2 linked regions of the Macaca fascicularis genome follow. The protein of the gene in region 1 interacts with the protein of each later gene in a pairwise test. Links are inferred from orthologs where the notes say so. Each region holds a gene or a part of one and is shown in the gene's direction. Other genes may lie near its edges.

The links.
Region 2: the proteins of ERCC6L2 (region 1) and CYREN interact in binary tests that used the Homo sapiens proteins (3 or more experiments, as listed by UniProt). The two-hybrid records come from large-scale screens. The link is inferred for Macaca fascicularis from reciprocal best matches to the Homo sapiens genes ERCC6L2 and CYREN.

What each region holds. Positions count from the first base shown.
Region 1 is NC_088389.1:127,167,437-127,171,882, reverse strand, and holds the start of ERCC6L2 (DNA excision repair protein ERCC-6-like 2), read left to right. Parts: upstream 1-1,644; 5' UTR 1,645-1,725; coding exon 1,726-1,771; intron 1,772-3,263; exon of another isoform or gene 3,264-3,662; coding exon of another isoform or gene 3,663-3,681; intron 3,682-4,446. Other genes in the region: putative uncharacterized protein ERCC6L2-AS1, read right to left, coding at 1,234-1,644. UniProt on the Homo sapiens protein: Promotes double-strand break (DSB) end-joining and facilitates programmed recombination by controlling how DNA ends are joined in a spatially oriented manner during repair.
Region 2 is NC_088377.1:176,837,390-176,841,964, reverse strand, and holds the start of CYREN (cell cycle regulator of non-homologous end joining), read left to right. Parts: upstream 1-1,735; 5' UTR 1,736-2,236; exon of another isoform or gene 2,237-3,021; intron 3,022-3,376; exon of another isoform or gene 3,377-3,406; 5' UTR 3,407-3,544; coding exon 3,545-3,681; exon of another isoform or gene 3,682-4,575. UniProt on the Homo sapiens protein: Cell-cycle-specific regulator of classical non-homologous end joining (NHEJ) of DNA double-strand break (DSB) repair, which can act both as an activator or inhibitor of NHEJ, depending on the cell cycle phase.

The sequences.
Region 1 (4,446 bases):
TTAAAGTTACTACCTGGTGGTAAGCAAACAAGTTATATTTTAAATGAAGCATTTTATGAACACATACTACTGGTTTTTAGTATCTGCCAAAGAATTGAGATCTATTTGCAGAGCAAACAGCCATATTGTTTTCTTAAGACACTACTGTAGGCAGAATAATGATCCCCCAAAGATGTTTATTTCCTAATCTCTGGAATTCGTGAATATATTAGCTTACATGGCAAAAGGATTCCGCTGATGTGATCAAGGGCAGAGGCCTGGAAATGGGAAGATGATCCTGGATTGCTCAGGTGAGCCCTCAGAATCTTTTCCAGCTGCCATCAGCGGTAGACTTGAGGATGGAAGGGTCGGAGATGGCACGTCACTGGCTTTGAAGATGCAGGAAGGGGCCAAAGGCAACGAATGTTGACAGAAGCTGGCGAAGGCAAGCTAAGGATGGTCCTGTGGAGTCTCCAGAAAGGAGTGCAGCTAAGGTTACACCCAGTAGTACTTCTGACCTACAGAACCGCGAGACAATAAATGCAAGATGATATATTTGTGCTGTTTCAAGCTACAAAGTTTGTGGTCACTGGTTATTGCGGCAATAGGGAACGGATACAGGCCCCGTCAGGTATTTCACTCAATCCATGAAATACCTTAGAGTATGCAAATGGTAACAAGCGCGGAAGCCACTTACGGATCCCTCTGTCTGCGCTGCCTGGGAGCGTCAGGGGCCGTGTACCTCCTGCACCTCGCGGGTGGGCGCGGCTGCCTCAGATGCTCCGGGCTCAGAGCAGACGGCTGAGTCTCCCGCGTTCAGCGACCCGCCAGAAACGTCAGAGGGACGAAGGAAAACTTTACACTTTAACAGTATTTTTACGTTTATTCCCAGCAAATGTTGTTGGCTTTGTATTTAAAGTATTTATGATTCACTACAAAGTGTAGGATCCAAGAAAACGCGCTAGTTTCACTTGGCACCTGTGGGTGTCCCGGGGAGCTCTCCAAGGAGGGACTGGCTCCTGGAAGTTCCTGGGGTGCGGCACCACCACGGACGAACCAAGCTCCACCGAGAAGCCAAGAGCCGCGACCGCCGGGACGCCCTCTGCCAGGCCTCCACCGCCTCAGTGGCCCTTCACAGCCACTGCCTTCCCAAGCCCCCCAGTTATGACCAGCGTCGCTCAGCGCCCGGCCCACCCAGCGACCTCAAACCTCGCGACACTCGCAACTCCCGCGGCCCTTCCTGCTACAGGCCTCCTAGGGGCGAGACATCGGGAAGATGGCTCCGCCCACGGAAAGGAAGATTTCGTTCTCGCGAGATCCCAGTGACAATTCGGCAGCCCGTTCTCGCGGGATTTTCCAAGGCCGGGATGGAAGTTGCGGGGTTAGGAGACTGAGGTCAGATCCTGAGGAGGAGATTTGGGGGTCGCAATGCTGGCCTCGTGTTCTCCACCGGCGGCGGCGGAGCCCGAAAGAACTAGGTGAACACCGCCTTGCCAGCCTCACACAGCGTCCCGTGGCTCTGCCGCCGCTCCGGACGTCGCCCTCCCGTTCTCCTCGGGTTCCCTTAGTCGCTGCCTTAGCTGGGATCCCCCTCCTCCTTCCCGTGGCTTCGGGTTGCCGGAGAGCGATGCTCGGAGGGCGACCGGAAGTGGCGTTGGCCGCCATTGGCCCACCGGCCAGCCACCTCGCTGTCCTCCGCCTTCCGGGTGTTACGTGCAGCCGGGCTCGGCCCCTCCCCCTGGCCGGATGGATCCCTCGGCGCCACAGCCCTGCGCGGAAACCGCGGGCAAAGGTACCAGCTCCGCGCTCGCCCCTTACCCAGAGGCCTGTCTGCTGCGTCGCGTTGGACCAGTTCTCGCCGGTGCCCTTCGGGTTGGGGTTTGCCCTGTAGATCGTCTTCAGTGACAGCTGCAGATTGTGAACCCCCTGCAGGCCTGGGACCAAATCTCCGATTCAGTGTTGAGAACCTGGACTCGGGGGTCAGCCCCTGGGATCTAGTGCTGCCTCTGACAGTTACTTGCTGAGCAACTTTGGGCAGGTTCCTCATTTGTAAAACTGGGTTCATTACTAGGTTCTTGTGATTTTTAAATGACGTGGACAATACGCAAAGCATTTATGTGACCCCGCGTCTGGCCCATATTAAGCACTCAGTAAACGTCATTTTCATTCTTTATCGTTGTATGCCCAGTTGTTAGTGAATGGCAGACGTTTGTTGTAAGTAGGTAAATGAAGGTTGAGATATTTAGTTCAGTGGAGGTTTATTGCCTATTGAGTCAGGGCATTATATTCTGCCTTAAATAGGAGGTTTAAAGAAGGTGTGATAATCTACCACAAGTCATCTGGGATGCCTTCTGGCACCCAAATGAATAGCTTTCATTAATAATTGTGCTGTATAACAAAAGCTACCGGGTATTGAGTGATTTTCCTGAGCCCACCAATATGCTGATTGTTTAACTACTTGCTTTCTTTTGAGGAAGATATCAATCTCATTAACTAGATGAATTCAGAGCTAAAGCTCAGAGAGGGCAAGTTACAAGCCTGAATTCTGAGGTCTAGGAATTGATGATGCTGTAATTCAGGGGCCACACATATAAATACCTATAGGAGACTGGCAGCTAAAAATAAATAGATGAAGCTGCCAAGTGGAGATTATGGTGACTGGGACGTTCATTCCTTCTGATAGATCTAGTCACTCTGGTATTTATTGGTGGAAGGAGCAGAAAGCTCCAGGGCCCCGAGGTAGGAACATGCTTGAGGAATAGCGAGGAGGCCATTGGAGTGAAAGAGGGAGAGAGAGACCCCATCACCAGAATGAATTGAATTGATAATTAGTTTAAACCAAAACAAATGATTTCGACTCATTAAATTATAGGAGACTTAACCCTGTTAAATCCAACAGGAAATCCTCACAATTTAAGCAGTTGTTCTGTAGTTTGGATATTGAGAGATTCCATTTCTAACTCAAACTTAGCTGAATTTTTTTCATTCTAGAAATTACCCAAACTCAGAAACCAAAAATACTCCAATAAGTTGTGTGATTCCCTTAAGGTTTTGTTTTTTTTTTGCGCTTGCTGTACACTTATCTGAAATACAGTTCTTAGACCCCTTTCCCTTTTAAATTACATTTCTCAATACTCCCTTCTCATAGCATTTTTCTTCCAATGCACTTTTTACAGTTATGTATATGTTTATGTACTTTTTAGTTTTCTCTCTCGCAAGATACCAAGGATCTATGAGATCGATAATTTGTAATAGGCCAGGCGCAGTGGCTCACACCTGTAATCCCAGTACTTTGGGGAAGCTGAGGCTGGAGGATAGTTTTAAGTCCAGCCTGCAAAGTAAACGAGACCCTGTCTGTACTAAAAATAAAAATTTTAGCCAGGCATGTTGGTGCACACCTGTAGTCCCAGCTAATCAGGAGGCTGAGGCGGGAGGATGGCTGAGCTCAGGAGTTGGAGTTTACAGTGAACTATGATTGTGCCATGACACTCCGGACTGGGCGACAGAGAGACTCTTGTCTAAAAAAAAAAAAAGAAAAAGAATGTGTAATAAATTCACATGTTCATTGAATGTCTGCTGTGTGACTCTGTGTTGGTCCTGGGGATAAAATTTATAACAGTACAAACTTTTTCTTGGGAAGGAAATTACTCTCTAGTGGAAGAAAAAGACAAAAACAAGTGGACATGATAATTAAATGTTATGGTAAGTGCTACAGAGGCAATAAAATGATGAGATATAGAATAATGGGGTACCCTACTCTAAATAGGTGGACTGGGAGCAGAGAGCCTGGTTAGGCTTAATTTAGGGAGAGTTGATGGTGGCATGCTTTAAGACAGAGGTCAGCAAACTACTGTCTGTGAGCTAAGACTGGTCTGACATTTCTTTTTGTAAATAAAGTTTTATTGGAATACAGCTCTGCCCATTTGTTTATGTATTGTCTGGTTGCTTTTGCATTACAAGGGCAAGAGAATGTATGGCCTACAAAATCTAAAGTAACGAATAGCTAATGACTGACTCTACAGAAAATGTTTGCCAGCCTTTGCTTTAGTGAGATGGTGGCATGGAGGAGAGTCATTCATTTTTGAAGTAAAACCAGGCCATTCTGACAGACTGGATGTAAGGAGTAATATTAAATGAGGTTTAAGGGCTAACTAATGGTTTTCTACTTTGAAAAGTTGGTTAGATGATGATGCCAATTAATGAGATGCAGGAAAACTATTAGTCACCATCATTTTTGACATTAGTTTTCTTCATTTTATACTCATTATGTGGTATAATATTTGGTGAATAATTTGTGCTTAAATCACGTGTGTTGAATAATCGATAATAAAATGAGTCTTAAAAAATGATAGGGGAGGCAAACACATAATGGGAAAAGTAAGTAATGGGTTAATAATTGTATAAGGGTTGCTTTAGGTTTTAAGGTGCAAATAGTACTGTTATGAAAATAGGGCCCATTGACCTATA
Region 2 (4,575 bases), on another chromosome or scaffold:
TAGGAGAACCTTTATGTCTAGCTAAGGGATTGTAAATACACCAATCAGCACTCTGTGTCTGGCTCAAGGTTTGTAAATACACCAATGAGTACTCTGTATCTAGCTAATCTAGTGGGGACTTACAGAACTTTTCTGTCTAGCACTCTGCGTTTAGCTAAAGGATTGTAAAGGTACCAATTAGCACTTGGTGTCTAGCTCAGGGACTGTAAATGCACCAATCTGCACTCTGTCAAAATGGACCAATCAGCTCTCTGTAAAATGGACCAACCAGCTCTCTGTAACGTGCTCTGTAAAACGGACCAATCAGCAGGATGTGGGTAGGGTCAGATAAGAGAATAAAAGCAGACTGCCCCAGCCAGCAGTGGCGACCAGGTCCGGTCCCGTTCCACCCTGTGGAGCTTTGTTTCTTCACTCTTTACAATAAATCCTGCTGGTGCTCACTGTTTGGGTCCAAGCTGCCTTCATGAGCTGTAACACTCACCGCGGAGGTGGTTTCAGGTTATTCCTGAAACCAGTGAGACCACAAACCCACCGGAAGGAAGAAACTCTGAACATATCCGAACGTCAGAAGGAACAAACTCTGGACTCACCATCTTTTAAGCACTGTAAAAGTTCTTACACTCACAATGAGGTCTGTGGCTTCATTCTTGAAGTCAGTCAATTCCGGACACACTGTGAGACCTTGTAGCTGTGCAGGGAAGAAAGAAAACACAAACTTAACAGAGCCCACAAAATATTTGAAGGGCAGATACAGTTAATGTTTCTTGGGACTGGCAGTTAATATCCTCCTTTAACTTCAGGAGGGCTGAAATTCTTTTCAGCTTTGGTTAATACAGCAATTCATTCTATGAGCTTTTATTTCTCTTACTATAATTTTACTATTAGTACTTATAAGGGAGGAGACCACCCCCCCATATTGTCTTATGCCCAATTTCTGCCTCCAAAGAAAGAAAAAGTAAAAACTAAAAGGCAGAAATGAAATCCACAAGCAGATAGCCTGGGGCCACACCCAGGGCCTGGTGGTTAAAGATCGACCCCTGACCTCATCGGTTATGTTATCTATAGATTACAGACATTGTATAGCAATGCACTGTGAAAATCCCTATCCTGTATTGTTCCGATTTCATTACCGGTACATTCTGCCCCCAGTCACGTACCCCTTGCTTGCTCAATCGATCAGGACCCTCTCACGCAGACCCCCTTAGAGTTGTAAGCCCTTAAAAGGGACAGGAATTGCTCGGTTCTTGACACAGGAGTCTTACTGATGGCCCTGGCTGAATAAACCCCTTCCTTCTTTAACTCAGTGTCTGAGGAGTTTTGTCTGCAGCTTGTCCTGCTACACTTATGCTATTATTCTATTATCTTCTTAATTTTCCACTTCATTAGGATAACAAATGGAGGCCGGGCTCCCATCCTCCTCCAGCACTCCAGGGCTGCCTGGCTCAGCAGGGATCCTCCACCTGGTTTCCGAGGGAATTCCCGGGAGGCCTTTCCAAAACACTCCCATTCCCTTCCACTAACTTCAGGGGCCAGGAATGGACACTCACTTTCCTCAGGCCTGCTGCCCTGCCTCGCGTTTGCAGTGCGCAGGAAACCGTGTGCCAGCAAGGGGCGCAGGCACGGCCAGCAGGGGGCGCCCGCGGACCTCCCAGTGAGCCAGCTGCCCAGAGCCGGAAGTGTCCCGGGTGCTAGGACTCCGAGGGGTCCGGGAGCCGCGCCAGGACCGGAAGTGTACGAGGCGGGAGCGCGCAGAAGACGCAGGCGGCCAGAGGAGGCCAGGGGAGTTCCGGTGCTAGGAAAGAAGGTGGGGATTTAAGTTCTGGGTGGGGCGCGGGTCCCACAACCGCTCGGAATTTGCCTCCTGGCTCCGCTCTGGAAGCTAAGAAGGGGCACAAGAAGTGGAGAGAGGGAACCTGAGAGCAGGGAAGCCAGTAGCCGGCGGGAGGAGCGCGCTGTTCCTCGGGTCGGAAGGAGCCGGTGCAGCCTTGACCCGCGTGCGGCAGGGTCAGCGAGGCCCCTGCGGTGCTTCGCCGCCGCCTTCCCCTCCGCAGTCACTGGCCCTCTGGGCCTCCCACAGGTCCAGCAGCGGGTACCGGCCCCAAGAGCGAGGGCGGGCTGTGAACTGGCATCACATCGCGTTCCCGCGGGGGCCCCCTTCCGCTTAGGCAGGGAACGGCCGGCATGGGACTGAGGTCTGTCCGCGAGCGCGGTGCCCCGGAGACCCGGCTTCTGGAAGGTGCTGCGGCCTGCCCTTCGGGCCCAGAAGCAGGGCGGGGAGGCGCGGGGTCTGGAGTCTGCAGGACCTGGCTGCGAATCCAACCAGCTGATTTCAAACTTCTCTGTGATCTTCTGCAAGTTAACTCAGTCTCAGTTCCTCGTTTGCGAAATGTACTTAATATGCACCCCAGGGTGAACCAAATTTGTCCACATAGATTGCAGCAGTGCACTTGCGAGGCGCCTTAGGGAGTAGGAGTCACTAATATCAATGAGTTTTGACAGAAATGAGGGGGCATTGGCAAAGGTGTGCCCCGTGGCCATACAGGTTAGGAGGAGGGCCTGCTAATATTTTTTCTTAAGTTGTAAACAGCCCTCTGAATGAGCAATACATTATCAAATTGTGATTCAGAGAGGACTATCGCTGACTACTTTTTTCTGGGCATACCTCTGCTTCAGGAGCTTGTGGCTTAATTCCTAAGTGGAAGGTAGAGACCTAGGCCCTCTGAGTCACAATTCCATCTCTCTGGGTGAGGACTGAGCTCCAGGACTGCAGACTGGAGGCAGAACAATTGGGATAGGAAGAAGAGAGGCCAAACTAGATCAGAGTCTGGCGTGGGCTTCAGAGTCCACAGACTGGCACAGTTATGCTTCGTGGCCCCTATTGCTGGTTCAAGTTTGACCAATCAGAAATATCTTTAGCTTAAGGGCGGGGTGTTGGCCAATGAGACTTTATTGTGAAATAAAATGCCCTCAGTTTCATGTAACTGAGCCACCACAGAGGAGTGGAGAAATCGAGTTGACCAGGTGAGGGAGAGGCCATTAAGAGATATTTTAGGGATTAGATGGGCTGGGCATCCCGAGGACTGGCATTTGGGGTGGTAATGAGGAGGAACATTGGGGGCCTCCGCCTCTTCCTTTCCTCCTGTGCTGAGTCAGTCAGCACAGAGGCTGCAGGAGGTAGCTCTGGTTGGCTCTGGCTGCCTGTAGGGGGCACCGCTTTGCGGAGGTCAGAGGGCTCTCTCCTGAGCCGCTCTCATGCCCACAATCACGTCTGCCTGATGTCTGTGAATGGCCGTCTGAGTCTCCTGGGCCCTGCTCACCTTTTGGTCACCTTTGGCCTGCCCTGCACCGGCCGGTAACTGCTTGATGACTGGAGGTATTGGAATTCACTGAACTTTATTCTTTGTAGGAATCAAAGATCAACTCCCACTGAGGACAAATGGACCTGTAATTCCGGGTGTGACGAGAGAACGGGATTTACCTTCCTGAACTAAAAAGCAGGTCATTAAGCTTTGGCCCTGACTTTTCTTTGTGAGAAGGTACAGAGATGGAAACCTTACAATCCGAGACTAAAAAGAGGGTCCTTCCCTCATGGCTGACAGCCCAGGTGGCTACCAAGAATGTGGCACCAGCAAAGGCCCCCAAGAGGATGAGAATGGCAGCAGTGCCGGTGGCAGCAGCAAGGTGCGACAACTCTGGTCAGATAACTCCTGTGAATCTGGCGAGTGGAGCAGGGACCTCCACGACCTGGGCCAGGTCTTCCAGCGTAGGCAGAACAGCAAGATGGGCAGGTGTTTTCAGTCTGATCATCTCTTGAGCTTTTAGGAGGTGGAGGGGCTGTGGGCAGGAGGCAAAATGGGTTAAACCTCGAGGACAGGAACCCGCTTCTGCCTCTGCACTGGTGAGTGCTCTGCTGTCAGCACACACACAATGGGTTTTCCATGTCAGCCAATCTCTGAGGCCAGTTGTCCAAAATGTGAGTCTCTTCCTTTACAACAAACATGGTAACATCAGATGGGCAAGATCAGTGGTAGGGTCTGTTCTGAGTGGTGCCTGCTCCTCCTGTGGACAGCCCTTTAGGGATGGACAGATGAGCAGCAGCTGCGGGGCCAGCAAGCGGTCAGGAGCTGAGGAGTGAGTTGAATGACGGTAATTGCGTGGGGTGGGGTGAGTCTCCAGGCTGCAACATCAAGTGGGCGGGGCCCCAGCACTCGGTGTTCCCCTCTCTGGCTCCTCCTCCTCTAAGGTTTCCTGACCGACAGCCTTCCCATGTGACTGCTGCCGCCTTTCCCTAAGTCTGGTCCTGCTTTCAGGTTCCTCTCAGTGCAGCCTCGGCCTGAGGTCCCCTTCCTCTTGCATCCACGTGTGTGTTTCAGAGGCGGCAGCCCTTCCCTACTTCCAGATCCTTGTAGGGCGGTTGGTGGAGGGTGGGAGGCACCCCGGTGTTGCCTCCATGAAGCCCTGTGCCAGTCACCGGTCTGCAAGGCTTAGGAAATTGTGTCCGTGTTGGAGAAAGCTCCTCGGCTCAGAGGTGCTGGTGCCTCCTGTGGGAAGTTGGCGGGAAGAGGCCCTCTTGCT